Linked DNA regions of Tribolium castaneum. The protein of the gene in region 1 purifies or fractionates together with the protein of each later gene. This does not show direct contact. Links are inferred from orthologs where the notes say so. Each region holds a gene or a part of one and is shown on either strand. Other genes may lie near its edges.

The links. Proteins that work in one complex are often made in the same cells at the same time.
Region 2: the proteins of lig (region 1) and rin purify together in Drosophila melanogaster (affinity purification with western blotting; 3 studies listed by BioGRID, with this or other methods). This does not show direct contact. The link is inferred for Tribolium castaneum from reciprocal best matches to the Drosophila melanogaster genes lig and rin.

What each region holds. Positions count from the first base shown.
Region 1 is NC_087396.1:16,160,971-16,165,243, forward strand, and holds the start of lig (protein lingerer), read left to right. Parts: upstream 1-1,328; 5' UTR 1,329-1,456; exon of another isoform or gene 1,457-1,514; intron 1,515-1,863; 5' UTR 1,864-1,902; coding exon 1,903-1,990; intron 1,991-2,041; coding exon 2,042-2,235; intron 2,236-3,133; coding exon 3,134-3,608; intron 3,609-4,273. UniProt on the Drosophila melanogaster protein: Acts in the nervous system to mediate the control of copulatory organs during courtship.
Region 2 is NC_087397.1:6,616,729-6,619,790, forward strand, and holds the end of rin (ras GTPase-activating protein-binding protein 2), read right to left. Parts: coding exon 2,777-3,062; intron 2,728-2,776; coding exon 2,612-2,727; intron 2,564-2,611; coding exon 2,422-2,563; intron 2,369-2,421; coding exon 2,121-2,368; intron 2,069-2,120; coding exon 1,790-2,068; 3' UTR 594-1,789; downstream 1-593.

The DNA of each region.
Region 1 (4,273 bases):
TAAGTTTATCAGCATTTGATTTGGAATTAACAGCAATTTTTTTATTGTTTTGGAGGTAAGACTTTTTTGTATCTAATGCGTTCATTCATCAAGAATTTCAACACCATCAAAGTCAAATTCAGGTTTTGTTTCTTTAACATGATTAGCTAAGACTGTTAGATTAGTTTTACATTATAAATTTGATTACACGATTTACAACTAATTCGAAAAACTAATATTTTTTCCAGTTTAGAAGGTTTCTTATTTTAATTTGCTAAAGACTTGATTTAATGTTTTTTTGTTATAATAGATGACTAATTTCAGACAATCATGAATTAAACAGTGTTACAATTTTTTTCTGATCAGTGGGATATTTATTAATCTACAATATTTAAAAGAGTGAGTTTGAAGTTGAAGAAGTTATAACCGGAATTTTTACAATTTAACAAATTAAGTTGGTCATTGTTATCATTAGATAAAATTTTGTTGATTAAATTAAATGGATAATTATTAATTTATGAAATATATTTGGTGATGTTGAAATTTTCGGGAAGTAATTTTGGGTCATGAGACTTAATTTTTGCTGAAGAGGGTGATTTAAATAAAAATTTAAAATACGTAAAGAAGATGTTGGTTTAATGTGCCAATTTGTTCTAATATTATTTTCAGGATTTCTAATAACTTTTATGTTTTAAAAATATAGTAGGACGGTCGGTGGAGAGAAACAAGAGACATCAATGGTGGCTAAAGCAAGAAAATCACTTATTCCAACAACTTTAATTGTTAAGATGCATTGTTTTTATACAGTTTTAAGCCACTGTTATAATTTTTATAATAAATTATTTAATTGTTCCTGCCATCTACCTTAATTCAAAACAAAATTGAAACTTGCGCTGTTTATTTTTCTGTATTTTTTTCTATTAACATATTTGTGACCGTCTAATGTTCTTGAGATTCTTTTAACAAAGTTCTTCCGTGATTCTTATTGACGCTCGTCCATGAACCAGTTCATTTACCTTACAAGAAGTACAAATTGCATACAAAAACATGTATCGGAAAAACAAAACTCGAATGCATAAGTTACAAAAAAGCAAAATAAGCGAATAATATTGTTGCGTTTTAATGAAACGTTATAAAATGAAATAAATAAAAGAACAAAGAATAAAAAAATGCAGGCACCGTAGCCACTTCCGCGGCATTTCCATTCAAATTAATCAAGTACAAAAAAAATGACTTCACCAGTTACAGCTCAAGTTTAGGTTTAACTGTCTTACAGCTGTGGCCAAGAATTAGAGTTTTTAGTGATAAACAAAATATCAAAACGGAAATTTTGTATTTATTTTGTCAAATTTGAAAATCAAAGACAAAAGCGTCAGTCTCGGTCGGTAATTTGGCGCGCTTTGGCAAACGTCCATCCGCCATTTTCGTGATCACGTGACCAGTTACTAGTGCGTTGTGGTTTTACTGAATTATACAGGTATGGTTAACGTTGTCGTTTTCGATTGATTTAAGACCGTTAGTGAGTGCTTGTTGAGGTATGGTGTGCAATTTGGGCCCCAGCCCCCGATTTCCAGCCCTCGATCGAGTCAAATTTCTCCGAAATCGCGTAATTTCCTCGTTCTGTTTGGTTGTCATGAACTGCTTTACAAGCTCTGAAATGGCGTCCCTCCACATGGTATAAAAGCGGTCGTCGGCCACCGGGGGCTTCCATCCCGCCGTGCGCGCCCCAATTTGCCCCCAGAGCTGCTATTTTTCTCATCCGCCTCACGCGCGGCTAGCCCCCTGATGCCTCTTTGTTATTGCCGGAAAATCCAGTTATTTCGCAACGGCGGCGATATTTACTCTTCCGAAAAATATGTTACTCATTGAGTTTATTTTTTACAGATAGTTTGTAAATAGTACACTGTACATACTGTACAAATCATGAGTTCGAGCAATCGAACCACCTCTAAAGGTGGGAAAGGGTCAAAGACTGACAATAAAACACACAAATCAGATAAATCCGACACAGGTGAGTTCGGGGGGCTTTTTGGCAATGCGGGGACTAAGATGCGTGTCTCAGGGAAAGGCTCAGACAAGCAGCAAGCAAGCAGAGATAACACACATGCAAAATCAGAAGATCCTTTCATTAAGGACAAAGTGAAGAAGCTGATGGAGATGTCTCAGAGGTCTGAAGAGGAGGTTTGTCTTGCTCTACATGATTGCGACTATGATGAAAACGCGGCCATGAACATGCTTTTGGAAAATATGGGGCAAGTGAGTATTGTTTTAGTTTACTGCTCTTAAACTGATTCTTTTCGTAAATCGTGTAGTAAATAAATTAAAAAAAAGTTTTGTAGTCGCCCTACTCAAGCAGTTTATAGCGTTTCACAGAATTCACGTCTTTTCTGCCATTGTTTTGCTGGTGTCGCTAGTTGCTGTCAAAAACTCAAAACAAAACATTATTAAATCATTAAACAATAGGATATCTGATAAGCATAAGTAAACAACGTATTCTTCGATTTTATTGTATTGTTTTATTTAATAGTGAACTACGTAAAACTACTATCCTATCGTGTAAACTGGTAATAAGTAACGGATACTTATGGGAATTCTAGAAATTCTATTTTTTGTTAAATGTATATTTAAAACGTAAAATGTTATCTTAAACTTACTGAAATTAGAGAAAAAGGGAAAGACAGAGTGATAAAATATAAGTAGAATGTGAAATGAGAGTGGTTTATGTTTGAGGTTGCATTTTTTGGTTTTAATTTAGTAATAAAACTTCTCACACAGTTGTAACCTTAACTCGTATTATAATAATTATATGTTACATTTTTGAAAAAATAACCATTAAAATTTGGTTATTGTTAATAACTAAAAATTGTTTATTTACTATTCCGGAAATTACATCAATTTGTCATGGTCAAGGCTAAACGACGTGGCATCAACATTTAATGACAATAATTTTTTTCTTCTACTTTTTAATGGGATGTATTTGTAATACCATGGAGGAACAAAACGTTAGTTTTATTTTTTGTGACAGTAGCGAATAAAAAAATCTTAACTGGTTTCTTCCCATGGTCGTCTGGTTCCGTTTTTTAATAAGTATGTATTTTCCTTTCGTTTTTAATTTGGTGTTCGCGTAATAAGAAGTCTGGTTTTGTGTTATCAGGGTGAGTGGGAGACTAGAGTTAAGAAGAAAAAGAACCGCCAAGCGTCCGCCAGCAAGCAGGAAAAGATAGAGGAGTCTGCGGGCGGCGACGATTGGAACGACGTCCCATCTGCCGGCGGGGGCGGCGGTGCCGGCAACGGCAACGAGAAGGACAAACCGCGGAACAAGAGCGGTCCGCCTCGTCTCCACGGCCGACATAATGACAGCCGCGGGTGGCGTGGCCGAGAGAAACAAGAAAACGAGCGTAACCTCGAAGAGGGCGGCGGTGGCGGTCGTGATTTCCACCGCGATCGTCGCGGCAGACCTGGGGGATCGACGCGTGGTCCTGGAGGCGGTCGAGGAAGGGGCGGCGGACGCGCTGGAGGCAGATATCCGCCGAGGGGAAGTCGGAGCAACGCCTATAACAAACCCATCGACACCTGGGATAACTCCAACACGTGGGATAACAGCACGGTGGCCGCAACGAACCACACGGGTAAGATAAGGCGATAGCCGAGGAATCTTCTTCAATAGAAATTTTGATTTATTTTTCTTCGGCGTCTCATCAGGATAATCAATTAATGTATTTTTTTTAAATGAAATATTTTGCTTCTTCGGGAGGAAATAACCTACTTATATGGAATATTTGGATAGTGAAAAACATGATTTTTTTGAAAAAATTATTTTATGTATAACTTTGAATGAAAGTCTATTCTCTGCTTTAGATCATTCGTTTCTTATAATTTATAATTCTTATAAAAAGGTAAGGAAGATTAGGTGTGTTTCTTGCTTGAAATTACGTTACTGTACAATTAGTTTTTTTTAATAAATGCATACTTATCAATCTCATCATACATTCAAAAAGAATTTTTGGTGAAATATTTTAAATTTTCTTTGCAAAACAATTTTTAATCAATTTTCGTTCCTAGAGATATCAAAGTTTTCAGGAATTTGATTACGAAATGCATAATTCAATTTTTATGAGGAAAACGATGGGGAATTTACGTTTAATGTATTTACACTAGTGAATGAAACAGATAATTGGTATCTATAACTCGCTAATATGAATTTTTTTGCTATTATGCGGCGTTGAAAAAGTTCCTTTAAATAATTGAAATATATTTTTTATAATAGCCATAGATTAGATACTAACACCTCGCA
Region 2 (3,062 bases), on another chromosome or scaffold:
GCCAACATTAAGTAATTCATACTTACCAGTTTTTGTTATGTGGCCGCCTTCGAGCACCACACCAACTGGAATAAATTACAGCAAGCGGCTAAAGAGAAGCATCGCCCACAAACCGGAGATAAATTCCCTCAAATCCCACTCTCTCGTCTCTTTCCTCCCATCATAAATTTATAAACTTGTTATGACGTGGGTAAAATTTAAACGGGGCTTAAGCACAAGTTAACATCTGGACGACCCATATGTGTTTTTTTAATCAAACAGCGCTTTGTGACATCAGTTTAATTGATTGTTGAAACAAATGTTAAGTAACTGGCGCTTTGGCTATTGAGCTGAATTAAATAAGCCAGATTTTTGAGTCGGAATGTTGGTTTCGAAGATATAGGGTGACCCCTTCGTTAAATTTTAAGAAAAATTAAAATGTTTATGGCTCATTTATTAAGTATTTTTTGTCAATGAAATTAACTTGAGACTGAAATTAATAAATAGTAGTTTTTTTTCGTGTGGCGAAGGTATGCAACCAACGATGCAAGTGCTGTTAATGTTTAATTTTTTGAGTTGAGGATGTGTGTGTGAGGGAGAAAGAAAAACAGCGGTCGCTGTAACAATTTCCTTTAATGTTACTAATAACAAGTTGACAATATTACAGGAACGACAAACTGAAAAGATCCTGAAAGTAGATTTGTGACTAGTGGAACCTGCACAAGTCTTAGTTTAGCGAAGGAAGAACTTTGGTTAAAACTGTGTCGAGTATACTTTTGAGAGGAAATGTGATTATCACAGGAGAAAAGGAACAAATACTGTAACAAAACTTTAGGGAATAAAAAAAAGTGAAACTAAGCCTGTAAATAACATTCCACTTTTTCACCAGACAAATTTATAAAAATTAACAAAACACTTTCACATGCTACCTTAAATAAAATGGGGATTACACCCTCCACTTATTCACATGTAACTTTAACTTAATGTGGACACAAACACTTTAAGAGTACGCAACAAAAAATGACGGCTGAGTGATTTAAAATTTTGATCAAACCAAAACTGGTTAGCTGCAAAAAGTAAAATTTTTCTAATGTGCATAGTAATTACGTTGCGCTTGGTGTTGACAACTGAATAAAATAATTTTCGGGAGAAAGAACCGAATGAGCCTTAAAAACATAAATACTTAGAGTAACTGAAAATACGAGCGCAAAATCCTAAATTATGTTTAGAACCATATGAATAGGTGACCTTAGAAGCTAAATACACTAAATTTTCTACTGATTCCGTTAATATCAGCTCACATAAAAAGACTATTTTTTTCAATTTAAATTTTTATTTATGTACACTCCCTATATAATGTACATTTGGCATTAAAAAATAAAAAATAAGTATCTAGTAGAAAATTTAGTTACGAGTTAGCAGCTACTAACATCAACATGCATACAGCTGTTAGGTTATGTAAAATAATTGTAACGTACGACCCGTGGTGACCTGCTTATATTTAAGTTCAAACCATAAAACTATGCTCGAAACATTGTTTTTATCGTTACTCAACCTCCGAACGTTACCGATTTTTTCATCAACCAATCGCATTATACAACACAGCCAATAAGTACTTGAAAAAGAGAACTATTAGTATTGATTGGCGGATATCGCTTCGGACATTGCGCAACAATCCTAAACAAGAGAAAAAAAGAAATGGTTTGATGTAAATATGCAGCTAATGAACCACTATTGGCACTAACGTCATGATCCGTTCTTGAACACTGTACACGTCCCATTCACAATTCGTTCGCGCGAAGTTCACTTATTAGCGACGATTGTAAGTGTTCGGCCCTCGGTTCGGGGGTCCCCCGCCTCTGTTGTAGTTATTGGTCCGATTCGGGATTATACCCGACTGACTCCCTCCCGTTGCGTTGTTCCTATTGGCTCCCCCCAGGCCCGGGCCGCTCCGACGAGGCCCGGAGTCGCGCGAGCGGTTATCGTTGCTGCTCGGACGACCGCTCCCGTACGACTGACGATCCTTCGTCTTCTTCTCCTCCACGTTCAACTGAGTGCCGTTCTTGTCATCCTTCGGGTAATAAATCGGCTGAAAAAGACAGCTCAAACAAACCAAACCATTATTTTTTAAACTGCTCTACCTTCGCGGCTAAGCAATTCTGGACACCACTTTGCGTCTCATAAGTTATGAAACCGTAGTTTGGTGGAGCGCGACCGTTGGGAAGTGTTACTTTGTTGGCCGGCTTCGTGTGAATCCTCAAGTCGAGAATTGAACCAAACTCGGAGAAAATCTCGCGCAGCTCGTCCTCGGTCGCATTGTGGGGCAAATTGCCCAAGAACAGCTGGTTTTGATCGCCGAAACTGTTTCCTTGAGGTCGTTTCCTATCATCTGAAAAAAAAATAATTAAACGATCGTGTAATTCTAAATTATTTAAAACGTACCTTCTTCGTTAAAAGAGGGCCGGCCTGGGGCTCCGCGACCCGAATCTTGCTTCTGGACTCGTTGTTGGTTAACTCTAGGTCCCCGGTTCATGCTGTTGCGGTTTCCGAGGCCTCCTTGTTCTCCTCTAGGCCCCATATTCGGCTAAAACAACAATCAAAATTTGGCAAAAACACGATTAGTTTTCATTACCGGTGATACAGATCGTGGTTGTTGGGCCGGGGAAGTACCCAAAGGTGGGTTATTAAACGGTACGCTATTGCCCGATTTCAACAAGTTGGCATAAGTTTTGGGTTCATTAGACGCAACTGTAAAAAAAAGTTAACAAGAATCTACATTTTTCCAAAAATGACAAACCCGGCTCTTGGTTCAAATCCTGTTCATTGTCCTGTTCGTTCCCTTCATTGTAATTAATTTCCTGCGGCTCCTCGTTTTGGACTTCGTTCTGGGCTTCCTCAACCGGTGCCGCGGCATTCAACGGTGGTACAATCGTCGAAGGTTGGATGGTGGTGATGGGTGTCGGAAGGACCTGTCCTTGGCCCGCGGCGTTGACATGGGGCACCGGTCCGGGCATCACGTTGATATCGTCAGGATGCACGGCTCCGTTGACCTGGGGCACCGCCGGAGGGGCTAGAACATGCGG